Lytechinus pictus: one gene and its partners. The protein of the gene in region 1 binds, or shares a complex with, the protein of each later gene. Links are inferred from orthologs where the notes say so. Each region holds a gene or a part of one and is shown in the gene's direction. Other genes may lie near its edges.

Region 1 (8,023 bases):
ATATTTGATGATTTTCATTTTTTTTGTCACATACCTATAATACACTGCCATACATTACGCTATTTAGGGGTGCAAATTTGGGCAAATTTTAGGAGACAAGGGAGCAGACATAAGCCATAAACACCATGAAAGGCGATTTTAAGGGATACAAAATAGTCCTCCCACACGACGGCGCGGCCAGCGCAGCATGCATGTCTCAGGCTCAGCGGAGCCTCTTGGGTTACCTCGCCCACAGTTCCGGGGTACTTGCTGGATCATCACCGCTCTTCATCGATCAACCGACACGACAGTGACAGTCGAATATCATCAATATGAATATCACTCGGAATACAACCATTTAATCGGCGAATTATCAGGTACTCACCAAATTCTTCGGTCTATATTTGAAGTCTGAAAAATTACAGCCAAATAATAGCTGTGGTCAACATTGCTTTTGAGTTATTTGAGCTGTCAGGACTTATAATATTCCATAAACAATAATAAGTTCACGATCAAATTAGGCTGCCAAAATTATCGGTATCAGTGAACAGTAGAGGGCAACATTCAAATAACTCTTCCTTGCTTTTACAATAAAAATTAATGCAAAAAGGATATTATGGTGCTAATTGAAAGTTTCCGTTTTAAGAAAATTACTTTTATTCGGAAGACTTAGAGCATTAATATTCTCGTTATAGCTAGCTATTTGACATTTTTCTCATAATTTGTTGCACATGAAATGCGGCATGATCCTCCGGGACATCCTCTGGACTGGAATAGAGAATTAAAGGTTTATAATTCTAGGACTACATAACTCCGGGGACGGTGGTATATAGGCCTATAGGGGCAGATCTCAAATGCATCTATTGTTATTAAAAAAGGGACATTATTAAAAGGGAGTCCACCCAAAGTTGATTTAAACAACTGATACCGAAAAAAAAATCGATATCAAACAAGCTTGATGGTGAAAATCATTCATCAAAATCACTATTAATTTTTATTTTACATCCGATTTGATAAACTGCGTTATTATGCTTGTTTGATTTATTTTTTTCTCTATTTGGAAAGGTTTAAACATCTGTTGTACAATTATGTGGGGGGGGGGGGTTAAAACCTCCATTTCTCAACGCGGGAAGTTTTACAAATTTAAACTGTCGGCTAGATAATCGTCAAGCATATACCTGAAGTAAAGACCGGAAAACCTATACAGGAGAAGTCCTTCAAGGACGTGATGTGAAAGCAAAGTTAACAGCTCATCAGGGAACCAGCTGAAAGAGGGGATCGACAGCCCGCCTGCTCGATCCACCAGTTGATAATTTGGTCTTTGATTATAACAAAGATAGTATGGCCTTCTTCTGAATATTTTTTGAAATTTACTTTTTCCGCACGCCAATTAAGAGTTGTCTTAATTGGCATATATACTTTGCAGATGTTTTTGTCCTATAATTTCAAGTTTTACTCACCTTGGCAATTAATTAACTTTAGGAAAATCTGGTGAATATTTTCATCCATTTTCCCCGATAGGCCGCTATAAAAGCTTATTAGTTGTGGTAGTAGATAGTATTTTTTATTTTGAAGGGTTATATATTCCCAGGCAACAAAAGACCTAAGTTTTTTTAGTACATTTCCACATTATCATTATACAAACAAGGTGATGTAACCCCTAATTCAAAATGCGAGCGCAAAGCCGAGTTCCAATTTCGGATATTTCGTGAATAACATGAAAACATTAAGTTTTTGGACCATGAAGTAAAAAAATATGAGCACTGAATCGAGCTGAATTTTCATTATTATTTTATTTATGTATTTTTTTACTTCAAATTAATAGATCTGTAATGATCATGGCTTAATTCAATTTGCAGTAAGTCATGCAGAGGATCATTATCTCATTCTATTAAGGTTAGGGCAAAGCCGGAGCCAGTTTGAAACACGCTTAACATTTTAAGCACGTTTTTGTTTTGTTTTATTATTATTGTAAAAAAGAACAACTTACCGTCAGGGTACTTCAAAACACACTATGCGAGCACAAATCATGAACTGCTCTTAGAGAGGTGAGGGGGGGGGGGGGGGGGCAAGAGCAACAAATTTCCCGGACATGATTTATCATGGTCTGAACAGGATATTTTTTTTATGATTGTGCCCGAAGCGTATAATGATAAGTACAAAAAAAGAGCCAGGCGCGCCTGAGGCAAAAGCTACTAAATATACAAATACACAAATATAAGTCTCGAGCGAGCGAAGCGAGCTATAGCGAGAAAAAAACCCACCCTTTCATGAATCTAACTTTGATTTTGATTGATACCGCCCATGGTATTCAGAAAATAGCATCATAATTTATTTTAAATCTTCCTATCCTTTCCTTTCATCTTTTTTTTTTTCTCGGTTGCAGAACCTTTGGGGGCCAGTGCTGTGCGGATCAGAGTTTGGGGCAGTGTGGCATTGGTGGGGGGGGGGGGGGGCAACACGATTTTTTGCCTATATTTCACAAAATCGAGCGAGAAGCGTGAGCTGATTGTTTTCAATGCAGGCCCTGGCTTTAAAAGGGACTGTATATAGCTGTTTGCATTGGGTCATGAAGATGATATCTCACCAAATAAATAATGCAAGCGCGAAGCGCACGAGCTGATAATTTTTGGTATCCTGAGATGATAACTGGACGAAGCACTTTATAATATCATGAACTGAATGGCTATCTTACTAAACAATAATTTGATTTTGATTTATGAAAATTATGAATACGCAGGATGTGTATCATCTCAGTGCTAAAAAACTCTAGTCGCGAGGAGCATATTGACTTGAACACTGGACTTTTAAGCCCCATGTAAATGATCTCAGTCAACAGTTACTGAGATCAAGTAGCGCGAGCGAAAATTTTAATTTTATATACTTTTATGGCCTGAAAGATTTATGTTGACAATTGAGCTATATACAGTGAATGGATAAGAAAGTTTTTAAAATATAAAGAACGAAAAAGCTGTTTTGATCGAGCACTTTGCAGCTTTAGACAACATTCTACTTTTTTTTTTTTGGGGGGGGGAGCAAGTGGGGGGCCAACTCATTGAAGGCAAATACCCCCCCCCCCCGTGCCTCCCCCTTGGTCCGTCACTATGTCTGGGGCCGCCGCCGCGGCGGAACCTCGTTTGTTTGTTTGTTTGTTTTATTTCCGTCATAAAAAATACATAACAATATATAAACAAGAGATACAAGGAGTAACATACACATACATAATGAAATGAATTCTAAACATTGATTAAAAAAAAGAAAAGAAAAAAAAATGATTGATTGAAACATGTTAAGAAAGTTAAAAGATCAAACTTAAGACAGGAGACGGTTGGATAACCCATATTCAGCTGCACCAATTATATGTGCGGCTGGTCTTCCATGGGGACCAAGTAAAAAGAGAGTCATATAGGGAGCGGAAAATGAGAACAGAAAAGAAAAGACAAAAGAGGGAAATGAAGGAAGAAAGAAAAGGAAAGGAGAGAGAAAAAAAAAATCACTATCAGTTTGCTTACTCCTACCCCACTACCCCACCCCCCCAAAAAAAAGAAATCAATGTCTCAAATGTGACAACGCTGATCTAAAAGAATTTAAGGTCATACAATTACGAATATTATTTGGGATACTGTTAAACAACTTAGTCCCCCTATAGAAAAATGTGCGTTTGCAATAATTAGTTCTGGGTTTGGGGAGGCACAAATTATTTTTTCGAAAATGGTAAGGTCTTGAGGTGTAAAATATGTATTTTGTTAGATATTTGGGAGCCAAATCATGGAGGATCTTAAACATCATTGTTTGAATATGAAAGTTTTGCCTAGACTTCAGGGTTTGCCATTCCATTATTTCATGAATTGAGTCAATAGAAACATGTGACCGATTATTAATATTAAGGATAATTCTACCATGATGTTTTTAAACATTGCAGATGGCTACCTTTTTTATCAAATCGCGGGTATATACACATAAAAACACATAACTTCAACGCAGTTGCGGATAATATACTAAATATTTTGAGGCAGCACAGCATAGCAAATTTGGCCTTTTCAAATGATTTTGAAATGAAATTCTAATTATGTGATAGTAGCTTTGGAAATCTATAGCCAAATAGCAAACATTATGAGGCTTTTTTCGATACCCAGCATAAAGCTTTACTTAGGTTATAGGACATAGAGGGATTTAATAACTAGCCCTTAGTATTATTTTTTTTGTCCTGATTGCGACCATATTGCATTAAATTTAGCATGCTCATATAGACGCCATCCACCTTTCTTCCCGTTCTCAATATTTTTCTATTCTCGGCAGCCCGGTCGTTTTATTAAATTCTTTTCTTTCTTTTATCTTGTTCATTTTCTTCATATTCTGATTTTCCAATTTAGCCATTTTGGGTCTACCTTCATTTCCCGTTTATTTTTGTCTCTTTCTCCCATTTTCCCGCCATTCTTGCCCGTATCATTGAGTCATATCTTAAATTTTTATTTTATATCCCTCTCTTGCTAATCATGCTAATATATTAGTATTTCAGGATATTTTGAACTTTCTTTTCACCTTCCTTTTCCCGCTTTCCTTCCATTTTCCCTATTTATGTTCTTTCTCCCTGTCCCTTAGTCTTTTCACCTGGCCGTTTCCCTTTCCCTTAGTTTCCCCCTTTCCTCTTTTTTTCTTCCTTTCCCTTTCCCCTTTCACTCCTTCTCCCTTTTCTCTTTTTCCCGGTGAAATATTCTCCTTTTTCTTAAAGTACAGAACAATTTGGCTTTTGAAAAAAAAGTCTTATAACAACTTTTCATTTTAGATGATGGTTAATCTAAGTATGTATATTTTGCATTAATATTATTGATTTTTTTATGCATTGATAGTTGTACATATATCTCCCTCTTTTTTAGCGGCTCTTATATTTGAGTCCTATTTGCCCTCCACTCGTGCCAGGTGGCATCACAGTTTCTTGTTCTTATAATCAATGCCTGTAACTATTATGCTTACTTTTTTTTAACGATCGATGCATGCTTAATTGTTGTTTTACATGTTACCCGTAATTAGTGGTTGAAATGCGATCACTGTAAGTGTAAAGCGCAACATTGATAACATATTTTTTATTTGTAAAATTTTTTTTATTGTAAATAAAATTTACTTTGAAAAGTAAAAAAAATGTCTTCTAGCTTTCTTCTTCTTGTGATATCCACGGTATTTCCGTTTTGTCGAAATTTGTACTTCACATTTTTACCTGTAGATGGCGCCAATCGCGACTCGATTATAGCCAGACTTGCGAAATTGCGTTTTTGTTTAGTTTGGGTAAGTGGAGTTTCACAACTAAATTATAGATTTAATTATTCTTTATGCTTCTCGTTTCATAGATTCATAACCCTCTCTACATGTATGAATGCATTACCTCCCACATATGTTCCCGCAATTGTACAGAAATATAACACCTGCATTACCTTGGCTTGATCCATTTAATGACTCCCTGCTTGGTATCAGATCACGAAAAAAAATCATTTACAGTCCCATACATTGAAATTGGTGTCATGTCACCTACCGTATGTCTGCCAAACAATTCATAAAAAGTGTGAGAGAAATATGTGATTTTCTTGGAAAAAACCTTGGCCAGTCATTTCTTTTTAAATTTCAGTTTGACTTGAAGTTAACTGAAGTACAAAACAAATGCCTGCGTGCGCGCACTGCACCCAATGTCATAGACAGGAATAACCGTCGTTTCTGGGGATTTATTCAACAATTTCTGACATTTTACTGTAATCCCCATTTACCCATTTATGTATGGTGAGTGGAGCCAACGTAGTTCAGCGGAACAACCAAAATACAGAGACTGAAGCTTTTGGTCTACCAATGTCAATGATCCATTCACTTTATGTTTACACACGATTCAGGGATTTTGACGAGAAAGGCTGCATTTTTAGGTCGTCACATGAAATGCCTGAAATTTGTTACTCTTATACAATTTTAGTCCGATTTAAAAAAAAATTATGATTAGATTCTATCTGTCTAAATATGTATTGCATGTCACATGTGTACAAGTTTTGGTAAGGTAAGATAATTGTATCAGATGGAGGTTCAAATGCCATGAATTAGGTTGGTATCACATTTTACTTATTTGGAGACCTTTTTCTTTGCTTGCAACTTTTTTGTAACCGCCCCTTGTAGCATGTAAGTTTGCTGTTTTCAAAGTGCCTAAAGAATTTGAAGACATTTTATTTTTTAAAACTTTCTGAAAATGTTTTGTGTTTACTTGGTTAATCTCTGCTTCTAGTGTAACCAGATTACATGTTTTCTCTGATATCAAATTCAGTAGTCGACGAAGGAAGGATAGATAGCCGAAGATGACAACAGCAGCACGACCAACGTTCAACCCAGCAAAGGGAGGCAGTGGGAAAGGAGAAGGGGATTTGAGTGCTCTATCCAAGCAGTATTCCAGTCGTGATCTCCCAGGGCATACAAAGTTGAAATACAGGTAAAGCCAAGAGAATGAAAGTTTTAGATTTGCGTCCACCGCCCGCATGCTCCAAAACCACCCGCACGAAAATTTCATTATTAAAAAAAAAAATCATTTACTTACTCACGAAATTACGAAATTACAATTTCCAAATCATCGCAGGGCAGTAAATACGCACTTACTACGTGCATACGGTATAGCACTGCAGCGCACCTTCGATCTTCGCACAGCAAGCTAGCTGTGGCAAATTGTCCATAGACTGTGTACAACGGATAGACTGTCTCGGCTAAGCGAATCGGAGATCGCTGATTGGCCAATCGCGCAGAACACGTCATGACTACGTGGTCGCCAAAATAATTCCTTCGGACTGCGTGCGAAAGTATCGAAAGCGATAACGATATCCGGTCACATGGTCTTCGCGGGAAATGGTCTTGGTTCGTGATCGGATCGCTCCAGTATCGATCAAAAATTATTGAAACTCAGTAATTTCATGCATATTCACGCGACGCTCCCAAACCCGGAAATCAATTGACTTTGTACACGTTGCGATAGACTCTACAAACTCCAACGAACCCGATGCCATATCGACGCTAATTCGTAAGATTTTGACCGAAAAGCAAGAAGTAATCGAAATTCACTTACCTGTGCGGTATCGGTGAGAAAATAGATCTTCCGAGAATACCTTTCATAATTCATATAAAATATAGGAAAGTGAAATTCTAGGTCGATTTTGGTACGAGGTGATAGAGAATTGCACACTTGTTTTGGTGGAATACTGTGTGGGGCTATGGAAGGCTTGCAATGCAATGCGCATGCTTACTATATTTTCATTCATAAATTGGCTCTCGGCATGCAGTGGCTGGGATGACGTCATGTAATAAGCAAAATGTACACGGCCGCTAGCGCTAGATAATGAATAATAAGCCTCATGCCATTTGAAAAATTTTCGGATGCAAATCTAATACCTTACTTCTCATGGCCTAAGTGTCTGTACACTGTATCGAGTTAGATATGAGTGTATTTTCTAAAATTTGGCATGAAGGTTGAGTATGGTATAGCGAAGAAGCCTATCGATTTTGGTGTGGGCGGAGACATCGTTGCCATGGAAACAAGTTTTTTTGGAAATAGCAGAGATGTCCTTGTGAGCGCTCTACCAGCTGCATTTCTTCTCCGATCATCTTCAAATGTAGCATGAAGGTTGAGTGTGGTAAAGCAAAGCCGCATATTGATTTTGGTGTGGGCAGATACATCGTTGCCATGGTAACAAGTTTTTGTGGAAATAGCAGAGATGTCCTTGTGAGCGCTCTATCAGCTGCATTTCTTCTCCGATCATCTTCAAATGTAGCATGAAGGTTGAGTGTGGTATCGCGAAGCCGCCTATCGATTTTGGTGTGGGCAGAGACATCGTTGCCATGGTAACAAGTTTTTGTGGAAATAGCAGAGATGTCCTTGTAAGCGCTCTAACAGCTGCATTTCTTCTCCGATCATCTTCAGATGTGGCATGAAGGTCCATTATCGTAAAGCAAAGTCGCCTATTGATTTTGGTGTGGGCGAAGACATCATTGCCATGGTAACGAGTTTTTTGTGGAAATAGCAGCTATTTCC
Region 2 (7,470 bases), on another chromosome or scaffold:
CAATGCTCCTTGTAGAATTGAATGAATCACAGCCAGGACAAATAATGGAGTATTTAAAAAAAGATGACCCAGGGATACAGAAAGCATTTTTACGTTTCGTTTCAAGAACGAAACGTTTTAGTAAGGAGTGATGTACTATTTTAATATTGTATTGTCTATAAGAAATATGAATGGATATGCTTGTACAAGTCTAATGTGAAAAGAAGAAAAAATATATATATATACATAATAATGTATGATATAATATATACAATATGATATATTCTGCACATATAACTAACAAAGCCCACAAGTGTTTTCGCCTTGTTGTTGTTGTTGTTTAAAAAAAAGAAACAAATTATTTTAATGTTTAACCCATCTGTAAGCACAGGTACACTAGCGCCCCCTCGTCTATGCATGGGTGACCTAGGCATTTATGTCCGAAAAATCGGCACAATGTACCGTGCTGACCGGTATGATTGCATCTTTGAAAGGGCAGGGCAAGCGCAACTAGTTGGAACTGAGCTGAAGATAGCGGTTTGTTTTTGGTGAAGTTTTGTTTATATGCCATTTTGACAAGAGTTACTGCAAACTTTTGTACATATCATAATTATCCTCTTTCATATCAGAAGGATACAAAAAAAATATTTTATATATGTATACATCATATTGGTAATAATATTATTATGTGAGAAGTGAGATTTTTTATTAATAATGTCAATGGCGACAATAGTCAAATATGACTAATCGCCACTCAAACCAACATAAGAAGAAGAAGAAGACTAAGGACGGATCGAACGAAGTATCGTGGTTGAGATTTGGAGGTAAGCGATAAAAACACTTTTATAAATAATTTCCAATTCCTTTTTACAATGAACTTAAATCATACGATCAAGATTAACATAGTGGAAAAATATTTAAAGGTTTGGCGTGTTTTAGTCCCTCACATTCGTGTGATGAATGAAAACGTCAAAATGCACTATGAAATCACATGCGTTGTGCGAGGTTAGTAATACTAACCTCACATGTTGTGTGAGTGCATCTCATGTATATACTTATAGGTGAAGTACGCCATCTTTTGACAAGATGATGATGAAAGTGGACTGAACGAGCAAGAAAATAATGCTGGGCGTCTAGAATGCAGCTAGCAGTACAAGCTTCAGTACCGTAAACAAACCGGCTTATAAATAAAATTGCGCGCCCTCTTTAGGCCAAATTTGATTTTGTCGCTGATCAAAGGGCATCTACGTGAAGATAAAGAAAAAATACATTAAAAAAAAAGGATCCATATTGTTCGATAAGTGTCATAGCACAATGTGAAATTATAGCTTTAGTGTTATAATCTTTTATTTGGGCAAAAGCCCATGAAAGATTTGCATGTGTCGTGTGCATTTGATATTCCTTCGCACGCGGGATGAAATGAACCCATGGGTGTATTAGAATCTAATCAGCGATGTAGGTCACTCATTCAATAAACAAGCCTATAATAAAAACTTGTTCTCTGTTCTCCCTGTGTGGTGAAATAGTATTGGCAATGTTTGGCTTATTTTCTCTGTCTTCAGCATAATTGGACCAAAACAAACATGCAATCATTGAATCAAATAAAAGTCATGTGTGTTTCTGTGGTACAATTAATGTTGAATATATATGGTAAATGGAAATTATTTACTTACTACCAGGAGCTTGTTTTTTAGCAAGAGTTCCATATGCACCCCCACTAGAATTAAAAATAAAAACATGGAGAAGGTTCAGAATAATATATCTAGCCCTAATATAGAACATATGATTGGGGAGTAGAAATACATACCAAAATATGGCTTTATTCCGTCAAATTTCGAGCATGATCTTTTGTAAACATAAGTCATTTTTTAGAATTTTTAATATGTGTGTTGTATTACTGCATAGATACCACACAGGCAGGGTGGTTGTTGTCAACAAGTGATGTAGGTCATAAGCAAGTCGGAGTCGGAGCTTCGATTAAGGCCGAAGGCGGAGCTGAAACTGGACTCGACGAACAATCATAACAAGTATAACTGTATGGGACTGCTGGAAAAGGTCTTTTATAATGACTTAACTACAATCATCCTATACACGAGGTTATAATTTAACCTAGTCTCCCCCTTTATAGTTGAACGTACATGTTGACAAAAACAAAACTTACATCACTTTAACTTGTTCACTGCAACCACCCTGCCTGTGGTGAATGTACATATTATAGACTATATAACACATTTTAAAAATTCTATAAAATATCACTTTTGGAACCCAAAATACTCATACAGTCCTATACAGTTATGATTTTTTTTTTTTTAATTACTAACTTGGAGATCAATATTTTAATTTACCAGAGCACTCAAAAACTTTATTTTGAGCATATTTTGGTGTGGGCCCTCTATTGGTGGGAAATAAATTTGGTCTGAATTGTCACCAAACAATCTCTTTTTAATTTTGAAAAAAGAAGTAAATCTAAGTTAGAGCCAAGTTATATGATGAATAGCTGTAATAGAAACTGACAGTGTAAAAAGTGTAAGTCCAAGAACAAGAGAAAATAAGCCAAACATTGCCAACCTTATTTTACCACACAGGGAGTTGTAACAGAGGACAAGGTTATTCATTATACATTTTACATTGGATGAGTGACTTGCATTGCCCATGGACTAGGTGGCAATGGGACCTCAATGAAACCTGCAAGAGTTGTCAGATTTCCAAGCACCATTCTATGAAATCGACAGATATTTGATCAAAATTTTCATATTAGATATAATTTGTGATATCTTAACTTTCCTTTCGAGGACTCCATCACTTTCAAGCTCCAAGCTTAAGATGGAGGTCTCCCACATTTCTATATATATATATGTTCATTAATTAAAGAAAATGTATATATAGATATAATTTTCACAGTACAGTTGATATTTTATAATGATTTATGTGCATTATTCATTATGTTTAAAAAAATATTTGCCTATTATGTAATATTGAAAAAAAAATATTATACTTGTATATTCTTTGTTTTTGTTTTGAAATGTGGAAATGAAATAAATCAAATCAAATCAAAAATATACAAGAACTAATTTCACTTTAAAAATGTTTGTAATTAAAAGAAAAATATAAAATCACTAGACAATTCACCCCCCCCCCCATCTTTGTGTGCATTTGTGTGTTGCTACGGGGATGCCGACTTTCTACAAATACACCACCCCTTATTTGCGCTATTGTCGCCTATGAGGTCAATAGTTATGCTTTGACCCCATTGTTAGTAGGAGTGGGAAAATGCCCTGTTAAGCTGTTTCCCGTAATATTTAACATAGAACCTTTGTAATTTTTAGGTTTAGTTACTGTAGGAAGAGTGCCTTTTGGGACAGCCACCCAAATATAATACAAAAGGTATATATATATGAAAACTGGATTAAAACTCACCAATTTTTCCTTGCGTTGTGCCCAGATTTAGTCCTTACGTCTTGCTCTGAATATACGATGACAAAGTCAAGAGTGACAGATTGAAAAGGAAAAACATACTTGAGTCTCCATTTAGGAGACATTTTTTTAAGCATTACATTTTATTCAAAGTGGTAGGTGCTAATGAGTGCTTAACATCTAGGGCATGAGAGGTGCTAGTGCAGTTGCACATGCCACCTGTAGTAAACCACTTCACTAATAGTATATCCAAAATAATTTTATGCAATTACCCGCTTGTGGCTGTATCCAATAACGTTGGTGTCGATATAGCCACACGCCGCTGTTTAAGAACACCCGACATGTGCAATTTGAGAGGGGTACGTTTGCAAGCTTGTTGTGGCATCAGCCGAATGATCAAAATGACATGCCAATCAAAATTGCACTCAATCAGGCTCAATTGTCCTTGGTGTTTCTCTAAATTTGGTTTAATTCTCACTGTCCCTCTTTTTTTTACTCTTGTTTCAATTTCAAATGCTAAAATTATGCAAGAACTTTAATGTAATTTAGCAATGGCGGATCCCCCGGATCCGCCATTGCCTCCACACCCCCTTTGATATGCCCTTGTGATATTAAGCAAAATATTGAAATAGTATTGTATTTTTACATCCCATTTTGATTCTTGTTTGATTTCTTTTATTTTATTGAAATAAACTTTCTTTTGTGGCAGACTTCCCCTTAAAGTAGTCTGGATTAGTTTTTACTTGCACTTCATTTTCAATTGTTATGTCTGCCTAACTCATTTCTACATTTCATGAGTCATGATAGTCATTTTGACTATTCACCTAGCCTATAAACCCTGTATGCATTCCTATGTGACTTATCATATATCAAGTAAGTTTGCTCATAATGGATTCAGAATGGTTCTGACTCATTCCAGTAGATTATTTACACCAGTAGCCCTGATTTGATATTTCTTTATATGTTCAAAAGTTATTTTAAAGTGCTTTTCTTATTTTCCTTTTATGTTCTTTTGTTATATAGGAAGTAATGAAGATGAGAGTGCTGTTGTAAGGAAAGAAAGGAGACAAGCCATTCCAAATCCTATGAGACAAAAGGTAATACAATTCGGCATTTGTACCAACAATTGACTTGTCTATTTCACTATTTTTATATTTCCCTTGTACATTGTTTATCAGATTTGTAAAAATTAGTGTAAAAGTCTATCATACTCTGGAATCATTTCAGGAGAGATGTTAATTTGATACTGTGTTCGCTTGATGGCTAGGTATAGGTTTGTTGTATGGCAACATTTCTTCTGGAATGAAAGTCTCATTAATTAATTGCTAATTGTACTACTGAAGTAAAAATTTGGGTCTAATTTATACTAACACTTGTACAACCAATGAATAAAGGAACATGTAATTCATTAAAACAGTTAAAAGGAATTGCTAATTTAAAGGAATTATTAATTGCTAATTGTACTACTGAAGTAAAAATTTGGGTCTAATTTATACTAACACTTGTACAACCAATGAATAAAGGAACATGTAATTCATTAAAACAGTTTAAAGGAAATGATAAAGATATAGCCTTCTCATATAACAGCAATCTGAAATTCAAAATTCATTGGACTGTAGTTTGTACACATGTATGCTTTTCCAATTGTACGAGTAATTTGCTGTTTTTTTTCCTTTAACATTTTTTATATACAGTTTGTTTACATATTAATCATTTTTCTTCCAATTATTTTGCAAAGTGGAATAGATAGTAATTAAATGAAAAGAAATTTAAAATAAGTGATTATGAAAAGTAATTAATGTAAGATAAAGTATTTTGAAATCATGCATTCACAAGTATAGGTTGATCCCAAGATTTGCATAACCGCACCTATTACTGATTATTGCAAGAAATATAAAATTTAATTCCAAGACAAACTTTATCATTACCCCAGTTTGGCAGGTATTAAAGGGGGGAGGGGTGAGTAGTTGCAATAAAGATTTTAATATGAATATCTTCCTTTATTTTAGACGAAGAAACTGAGTGAGAAGCAAGATATCAAATACAGTGACAGTAGTGAAGATGAATCTAAGGATACGATGGTCAGCTATAAATCCAGTAGATCCGCTGTGAGTATTCAATTATTTGTCATTCAATACTTCATCATTCTTAAAATGATTTTAACGAAATATTCATACATTACAAAATAAAATGATAAAACTTGTCTTGCTTCATCTTTGATGACTTGTTGGCTATTTATCAAAATGGCATCTCCATCTTATGTTTACATTTCTTATCGAAGGAGGAGAGAGATTATTTTTAATTATGACAGTTCATACCTGTCTCCACATCTTAAATCATTGACTTCTGACTTCACAATTACTCTGAAACTATCCTGACTCCTGAACAAATACTTGGTCAATTTGAGGTGATTTAGCAATTTGAAATGAGTGAAGAACAGATTCAGCAGAGTCTTCACTAGTCATCCTTTCATAAAAGCTTGCCCAAGTCTAAGCATTTTTCAAACCAGAATATACAATGTAAATGAATTTTCCAAGCCAAATTGCACCCAAATCACGCAGATTTCTGTGATGCTAAGAGGTTTGAGTTCAGTAGATTTGCCTGCATTGATTTTATTTTTTCCCAGGATAAAGGGTTGATTTTACATTCCTTTAAAGTTTGAGTTATTGATGGTCTTAACTTTTCAGAAACCAACTGGACCAGAAGATGGGGGTGCTACAGCAACCTATAACCTGGATACAGATTTCAATGAAGATGCACAGGCATTGTTTGAGAAACAGAAGAAGATCAATGAGGTATGCAAAGAATAATGCATTACTATTCCAATCCAATCTGCCACAGCTACATTGAATAGAACAAGGAGCGATTACATCACAACCCATATTTGATAAAAGAGGACCATGGGGGCCCAAGATATGACTGTATAAATGCCTTCTTTGCCCATTGAAATCAGTGTAAAAATTTGCCTGGTTCCAATTAGTTATGAAACCGGCCAATTAACATTGATTTTAATGGGACATATTAAGTATGCATTTGGCAATAGCTTGGGCCAGCATGAAGCTGTTTGTGTCAATTTGGTGTGTCAAGGTTTTTTCATTATACTCTACAGTGGCAAAATGAGCTGAAAATTTTAAGGACAACATGGCATATATTGAAAAATATCTTTAAAGTTGTGAGCAAACAAAAATTCTGGTCTTACTAAATTGGAAATCTAATTTTGCGATGGATATTGACAATAATAATGAAAAATGATATATTTGATCCTTTTTTATTTTCATTTTCTTTTTTCTTCTTCGTCTTCTTTTCCTTGGCCAGAGCCCCATGTTGGTACTTTATATCATTAAGTTTAAGCCTGAGCCAAGTAGCACCTGGTTCCATTCCCAGAATGCAGATTCATTCTCACAAAAATGTCAAAATTTATTGCCCCAACCATGTTTTGGCCTGCTCGCCCATTGGCTGGGCAAACAGTAGGAAAGTAAGGGAATAATACCAAGAGTAGCCTACAGTCCCTAACTTTCAAATGCTTTCCCATACAAGCAATGAAACAAAAGATTTGTATTCATCAGCAAGAGAAGATTATACTTGCTTTAATATATTGGGATTAATACTTTCTGCATCAGAAAATTCCCTAATCATTGTACAACAATTCAGCACATATATATTGTCTTTAGCAGAGCTGATTTTATAGTCTGCTTTTCGAGAAAAAAATTCCTGCCAGTTCCCGGTTTGCCTCAGTCAGGTTATTTAAGTGCAACCCAATATGGATGAATTTCTCTGCCTAAAGGAAATCAGAATCAGGGATAGGGTTTGACCCTCTGATGAAGAGAAGGAACCACTACACCATGAAACCGCCATAAATCAAATGCAGCTTAATCACTCTTTATTCATTACAGCACAGTCAATGTCTTGTAGACAGGACATGGTTATCATTTTCACTGTTTTTTTCTGCTCATGTAGGAGTTGAAAGGAGAGGAGGATGACAAGAAGTACAGAGGAATCAATAACTATCATACATACATTGAGAAGAGAGACACAGCACAGGGTAATGCATCCAGTGGTCACGTAAGGTAAGTTTAG
Region 3 (7,457 bases), on another chromosome or scaffold:
ACTTTCATTTGTTTTATAAGTAATTATAAATGTTTCAGTTTTTTTTAAAATATTTAATGACACTATAATGGTCAATACTACCAGTCACCAGTAACATTAGCAGCAGCAGCAGTAGTAAGTGTACTAGCAGTGTCATCGATTGTAATTGTCACCATTATCAAGAATTTTCAAACAAAGAATACATCAGTTATGAAAATTAGCATTATGTATTGGTAATGTGTTGTAATCATGACTAATGATGATAATGACAGTAAATAATAATGATCAAGATCAAGATAATAGTGCTTTGATGACAAGAATAAATTTGACATCTGACTGCAATTTTGACAAAAATGTTCGTACTTTAAACATAGCTAACTCTAAAGCACGATAACAAGGTTGATTTCTATTCCATTAGGATTTTCCTTGTATTATTTTCTTTGGCCAACAAGAATGTTTTAAGTCTTCATGATATTCTGAAAAGATTTGGTAAGCTTGAACACAGTCTTCAATTTTGTCATATCCAAATGGGTTATGTCAATGGCATGATGAGCCAGAAACTTTGAGGGGCCAAGCATGGCATATAGAGCAACATTTCTGTCCAAAAAAAAGAAGAAAGCGATTGAAGCGAGCGAGTGAACAAAATTTGTCCCCCTCTTTCTATAGGAAAAGCTAATTTTGCGATAGATTGTTTAAAAAATAATATCACATTTACTCCATCTTTTCCTTTCCCTTCCCCCCTTATCTAAGTGTATTCTTGGTGGTAGAACTTCTTCTTCTCTCTATCTCTTTTCTAAATTGTATATTTGTTTTGGGTCAGATTGACAAAACAAAGGGGGAAAATGTTTACTTCTTTTTAATCATATATCGTTCAACAGTGAATTTCATTTCTCTACAGTTTCAAGGAAATAAACAACGTATTTGTTTTTGTGTCAATATGGTTTCAAGAAATAATGATTAATAAAAAAATAGTAATTGAATAATTAATTATTATTAATATTATCAACAAGTATTAATGATGGCAAGACATGTCCTAGGCCGCATACATTCGTAATTCCGAAGCTTCGTTATTCCGAAGGTTCGGATATTCCGAAGGTTCGTTATTCCGAAGGTTCGTATTTCCGAAGGTTCGTAATTCCGAAGGTTCGTTAGTCCGAAAAAGAAATGAGGTTCGTAATTCCGAAGGTTCCTTAGTCCGAAAACGAAGTGAGGTTCGTAATTCCGAAGGTTCGTTAATCCGAAAACGAAATGAGATTCGTAATTCCGAAGGTTTGTTAGTCCGAAAACGAAATGATTAACGAACCTTATTTCGTTTTCGGATTAACGAACCTTCGGAACAACGAACCTTATTTCGTTTTTGGATTAACGAACCTTCGGTACATCGAACCTTATTTCGTTTTCGGATTATCGAACCTTCGGAATAACGAACCTTCGGAATAACGCCACAAATGTTCGGATTAATAAAGGCAATTTTCGTGTTTCGAAATTACGAACCTTCGGAATAAAGAACCTTCGGAATTACGAACCTTCGGAATTACGAAGTGTAACCGTGCTAGGCTAGGGCTAGCTTAGGCTAACGCATTAACTTTACCTCAAATCTGGACCTGTCTAATGCCTAATACTAATAGTAATAGCCGACTAATGCCATGGTTTAAAACTTCGAACCAAATTCCGAACTTTACGTTTGATTTTATTTAACATGGTTTAATATTTCTAGTCCGTATACAGAACCAGTCCTAGATCTAAAAAATATCTTAGTTCTAGTCTAGTCTCTAGATCTAGACTCTGATCTACGCTGTATCAGCATGGAACAACTAGTGTACCAAGGGGGGGGGGGCGCAGACTGCCCCCTGACAATTTACAACTGATCCAGGGGACGTGCCCTCCCCCCTTTGAGAAGCCAAATCAATAATTTGTAATGTCAAAATGCAACAGAAAAAGACTTATGTCCCCTCTTTTGAACGTGAAGATCTTTTTTTTTTTGCTTGTCAATTATTTTTCAGCTAAGAAATCCTTAATTTGGGGGGGAAGACGGGGATCAAGATCACTGACGTTAGTTTGTGCCTGACGTTATAATACGTTCCATGCAATGCAGTGGCGTAGCTAGGATTTTTTTTATGGGGGGGGGGGCACTGGGGGGTCCTTGCTTTTTCGGGGGGGGGGGGCCACCGGCCATTTTTTCCGGTGTGTGTGTATGTGTCACGAGGGCGGATCGGACTTTCGCCAATAGGGGACGGGGCCCGAAATTATTTCACCTATGTTTTCCCCGATCAGTCACTTCTTAGTTTTATTCTTATAAAACAACATAAACATGAAATAATCTCATAAGCCTTATAAAAAGTGTGAGCACAAAGCGCGAGCTCAAAAATTTGTGATATTCCAACCTGAAAACTGGACACTCTAAGCATTTTTTTTTGTGAACGGGAAGAGATCGAGTACAATAATTGATGCGAGTGCAGGAAGCCAGCCAAAAATTTGTGATATTCCAACCATTAAGCAACATTCTATACATTTTTGTTACCATGAGCAGGATTAGTACTGTACTAAACAATAATTGATGCAAGCACGATTCAAAATCTGTGATTTTCGAACCTAAAATGTATTATGTTTTATTATTAAAGAAGGTATATTTCTTTTTTAAAAAGGGCATATTTCATTTGGAAATAAAAATCCTACAGGGATTTTTTTTTTTGGGGGGGGGGGGGGCTAGAGAGCACAAAACGCAAGTTAAAATTTTTAAATGCTTAAACTGAAAATGAGTCATTTTTTAGGACTCTTGTCAGCTTTCTTTTTTTTTCTGCTTACAACCACTTTTAAATTTCAATTCTCATTTCTTGTATCTTCTACACTTATTTTACCTTAAAAAAACAGAATAAAGAATACTAACAAAATAAAGTTATATTCAAAAGGATATAAAGTAAACAGGGCGCACCCCATACCCTTAGTTGGGAGAGGGTAAATCTTAATTATTTCTTTAAACAGTTAATCAATCATTAATTATTAATACTTGTTGATAATATTAATAATAATTAATTATTCAATTACTTTTTTTTATTAATCATTATTTCTTGAAACCATATTGACACAAAAACAAATACGTTGTTTATTTCCTTGAAACTGTAGAGAAATGAAATTCACTGTTGAACGATATATGATTAAAAAGAAGTAAACATTTTCCCCCTTTGTTTTGTCAATCTGACCCAAAACAAATATACAATTTAGAAAAGAGAGAAGAAGAAGTTCCACCACCAAGAACACACTTAGATAAGGGGGGAAGGGAAAGGAAAAGATGGAGTAAATGTGATATTATTTTTTAAACAATCTATCGCAAAATTAGCTTTTCCTATAGAAAGAGGGGGACAAATTTTGTTCACTCGCTTGCTTCAATCGCTTTCTTCTTTTTTTTGGACAGAAATGTTGCTCTATATGCCATGCTTGGCCCCTCAAAGTTTCTGGCTCATCATGCCATTGACATAACCCATTTGGATATGACAAAATTGAAGACTGTGTTCAAGTTTACCAAATCTTTTCAGAATATCATGAAGACTTAAAACATTCTTGTTGGCCAAAGAAAATAATACAAGGAAAATCCTAATGGAATAGAAATCAACCTTGTTATCGTGCTTTAGAGTTAGCTATGTTTAAAGTACGAAAATTTTTGTCAAAATTGCAGTCAGATGTCAAATTTATTCTTGTCATCAAAGCACTATTATCTTGATCTTGACCATTATTATTTACTGTCATTATCATCATTAGTCATGATTACAACACATTACCAATACATAATGCTAATTTTCATAACTGATGTATTCTTTGTTTGAAAATTCTTGATAATGGTGACAATTACAATCGATGACACTGCTAGTACACTTACTACTGCTGCTGCTGCTAATGTTACTGGTGACTGGTAGTATTGACCATTATAGTGTCATTAAATATTTTAAAAAAAACTGAAACATTTATAATTACTTATAAAACAAATGAAAGTACATAATACAAAATGCCTTGAAAATGCCTTGAAATTTCAAGGCTCAAAATCCTCAAGGCCAAGGCCAAGGCTTGAATGTTCAAGGCCAAGGCACTACAACACTGATTAGTACTAGGCATTAGACAGGTCCAGATTTGAGGTAAAGTTAATGCGCTAGCCTAAGCGAGCCCTAGCCTAGCACATGTCTTGCCATTAATGGCAGCTAGTTTGAAAAGTGTTTAAGAATTGGATATATATAAGGCATATGTAACTATGTAAGAGTACCGGTAATTTGACGATGCTAATATTCATTCTGAGCAACTGAACGTGAATGCTTACGACCAGCACTGGTCGAGGCAGAGTCCACGCGCATGCGTACTCTTAATCCGAAGACGCAAGTCATGAATATTCATATGTTGGTCCAGAACTCGGTGGGAAAAATAATTTCGCCCCCCGGGCGCGGCCCCTGTGAATATTGTGTCTCGCTCGCTCACAAATTTTAAAATTTTAACACCCCAAAATCTACTGAGATATTGTTTGAAAATTAATTTGAAAAACACTCCAAGCAGCTTTTTCTAAAGTCTTTGTTTACAAGTACCATGGCATATTCGGTTGTATTCGAAAGAATACCACTGACTGGTCATCACTGGAGAAGACAAGCTCCTCGAGCGATTTGATGAAGTCCGCCCTCTAGCGATTTGAGCAGCACAAAATATCTGACAAAACAAATCGTCTTTCGCTCTTCCTGAATATTCGGCTTCTTGTCTTTCAATGAAGTTTTGATAGATTAAGATGGTGTGCGAGAAATGTAAGTAGACATGCCGATGATTTCGCATTTTATAAATTATATCTATAGTAGTGAAGTTTCATTGTTTAAAATTGAAACTCACTTTTTTGGCCTTTTTTGTAATGTATTTTTGGTTTTGGTTTAGGGCTTAAAGTTAAACACTACACAGTTTTCAATATGTGGGCAAGTGGAGTGATAGCGGATCCTTGACTTTGAGTTTGTTATTATTGTTGATATCAATGACTTGTAAGCTTCCTGTATTTCAAGCCTGTCTTTAAGGAGAAGTTAACCCTAACAAAAAGTTTATTTATAAAACTAGCAGAAAAAATAATGAAAAATATTGCTGAAGGTTTGAGAAAAATCCATGTCCAAAACACGAAGTACCGTCCATAGTCGTACTCGTAGACGTAGTGGTTTTCAGCAATCCTACAAGAAGCCACCGGGAGTTACACTTACAGGCTTGCGCCTTCATCCTGTACCAGATGATGATGATGATGATGATCAGTCTTGTAGTCGATTCACCATGGTCCGAGTCCGAGTCACCAAATTAAAATGTCATATTTTAATTTGTTTACTTTAAACCTTTTAAAATTACTTTAAAGTTTTAGTTTGACATCATACAATCAATCAAAAACAATCACTCACCCAATCAACAATTGTCAATTGATTCAAATCAACAAATACTTTATCAATTACAATTAAAGAGAAAAAATGACAAAGTAAAGGGAAAGCTGTTGACTTTGAGGTAAATAATAATTTATGTACAGTTATGAGTTAACTCTGCGTAAGTCGAAGTCGCATAAGTCGAATAATCAGAACATCCAGGACTCGTTTGCAAATATCAGTGCCTGCAAGAAATACAACATAATGTGTCTTTGATGCCACAGGGTCTTACCCATTTCAAGATTTTACAAAAGCATGAACAATTTGTTGCTCTTCATTCAAACATCATTACATCAATAGTACCATCTTTACAAATATGTTGTGTACAAAATTTGTAGAAAATGTATTACTCTAAACAAATGATACCAAATGTTCCTACTTTATTCAATATCATGTGTTAAATATCAATGAAAAAATTTGAAAACTTCAAGATGTAAGAATCTCAGAAACAAGGATTTTATATCTTAAAAAGAAAAAAAGAGAGAAAGAAACAGTTCAACTGAAGTGTGATTTATAGACTGCCGAGTTCGCCCTACGATACAGCCTAGTTACCCTTGCACTCGTATACACAATACATGCAGCTGCACAGTGCAATGCAATGATGTGCACAGCTTTTAGCGTTGAGGCAAATCATGGGCAAATCAACTTTATTATCAATCGTAGGATATACATTTTCCATGAAATATTATTGGAAAAATACTTCAAAATAGTGAATAATACTGACTATTAAATTCACCAGATTAGTATTAAATCTTCCTGCCTCGAGCCGAGTCATCGAGGCCGCATGCTACGAGGACGAGTCCGAGTCACGGCATTACGAGGCCAAGGCAGAGGACTGGCAAAGCCTGCCTCGAGACCTCCAAGACTGATGATGATGACACAAATTTGAAAAAAAGTCACTGAGTCTGAAAGTTCAATACTGTAGGGAGTGTAGAAGCTAGAGATCTAGACTATTACTTAGACCTTAGTATTTGAATTTTAATGATATGATTTGTGACGTCATATGCTAGCAGCTTTACTACAGTACACATTGTATGGAAAAAATCAATGAAATGAAATATAATTTTCTCAGAAAATTGAAAATGTTTTTTACGGTATGTTCAGTAGACAATAGACAAATTATTTCACTCCCAATTCCCGTTCCTAAAAATGAAATAAAAATAAGTGAGTCATCACAGACCATTATTTAAAAAAACTTGAAATTCATGCATTTTAATTTTTATATTACAAAACATATGGGACAGCTGTTCGTTTATGTCACAGATCCAAAACTTAAAATTCTAATAACTTTCTTAATCTTTCAAACCTTCACTGATATTTTTAATTATTTTTTTCTGCTATTTTTACAACAAACTTTCTTCCGGGTGAAATTCCCTTTTAAGTTTAACTTCAACTTTATTCTAAGTATAGCTCGGGTACCCCCTCCCGGCCTCCCCCAAGTACATCGAGGCCTATCACTGCACTTTTCCATTTCATAAATGTCCTAATACTGTCTGTATTGATGTGAATCATGGAAGGTATGAAAATGAATTTACAGTCAGTAGACTCGTATCTAGATCACTCATTCAATGAACAAGGTCTAGATTTACTCGATCATTTTGGTAGGGTGCCCAATGGTATATCTGCAATTTCCCCCTTTTTTTTCACATGATATGAAACCTGGTTCAAGCAAAGAATGGGCTGAAAATATTCAAGATGTAGATCTATTAATTGTATCTTTCTTTGTTTCTGATAATACACTAACTTAAGTAAATGTTTACCTACTTTCGTTTAACTACATGTAGTGTTCAACTTCAAGGAATCAAGTATTTTTTAAGAAAACATTGCAGAGAGAGAGAGAGAAAGGGTGCTAGATACAAAAACCAAGCCAAATTTTAATTCTAATGGTTGAAGAAAGACTTAATGGTCACTATACTTTTGTAAGGTTGGATTGTTGGATGATACACAAGTATAATTCACTTTATTGGCCCTTTAACTTTAAATGTTTCACCAAAGCCTTAGACAGGCTCTTAATAACCAAACTTGGCTTGCTTCAGAATTGTTGTAACTAGTTTTACCAAG

What was found. Proteins that work in one complex are often made in the same cells at the same time.
Region 2: protein CWC15 homolog (region 1) and E3 ubiquitin-protein ligase RNF113A-like share a complex: the UniProt entries of both Homo sapiens proteins name them as parts of the minor spliceosome. The link is inferred for Lytechinus pictus from reciprocal best matches to the Homo sapiens genes CWC15 and RNF113A.
Region 3: protein CWC15 homolog (region 1) and cysteine-rich PDZ-binding protein-like share a complex: the UniProt entries of both Homo sapiens proteins name them as parts of the minor spliceosome. The link is inferred for Lytechinus pictus from reciprocal best matches to the Homo sapiens genes CWC15 and CRIPT.

Annotation. Positions count from the first base shown.
Region 1 is NC_087260.1:19,048,728-19,056,750, forward strand, and holds the start of protein CWC15 homolog, read left to right. Parts: upstream 1-4,917; 5' UTR 4,918-5,029; intron 5,030-5,174; exon of another isoform or gene 5,175-5,262; intron 5,263-6,274; 5' UTR 6,275-6,305; coding exon 6,306-6,436; intron 6,437-8,023. UniProt on the Homo sapiens protein: Involved in pre-mRNA splicing as component of the spliceosome. Component of the PRP19-CDC5L complex that forms an integral part of the spliceosome and is required for activating pre-mRNA splicing.
Region 2 is NC_087247.1:22,149,172-22,156,641, reverse strand, and holds the start of E3 ubiquitin-protein ligase RNF113A-like, read left to right. Parts: upstream 1-4,382; 5' UTR 4,383-4,397; coding exon 4,398-4,490; intron 4,491-5,402; coding exon 5,403-5,501; intron 5,502-6,080; coding exon 6,081-6,188; intron 6,189-7,350; coding exon 7,351-7,460; intron 7,461-7,470. UniProt on the Homo sapiens protein: Required for pre-mRNA splicing as component of the spliceosome. As a component of the minor spliceosome, involved in the splicing of U12-type introns in pre-mRNAs. E3 ubiquitin-protein ligase that catalyzes the transfer of ubiquitin onto target proteins.
Region 3 is NC_087251.1:29,280,872-29,288,328, forward strand, and holds the start of cysteine-rich PDZ-binding protein-like, read left to right. Parts: upstream 1-4,369; 5' UTR 4,370-4,738; coding exon 4,739-4,754; intron 4,755-7,457. UniProt on the Homo sapiens protein: As a component of the minor spliceosome, involved in the splicing of U12-type introns in pre-mRNAs. Involved in the cytoskeletal anchoring of DLG4 in excitatory synapses.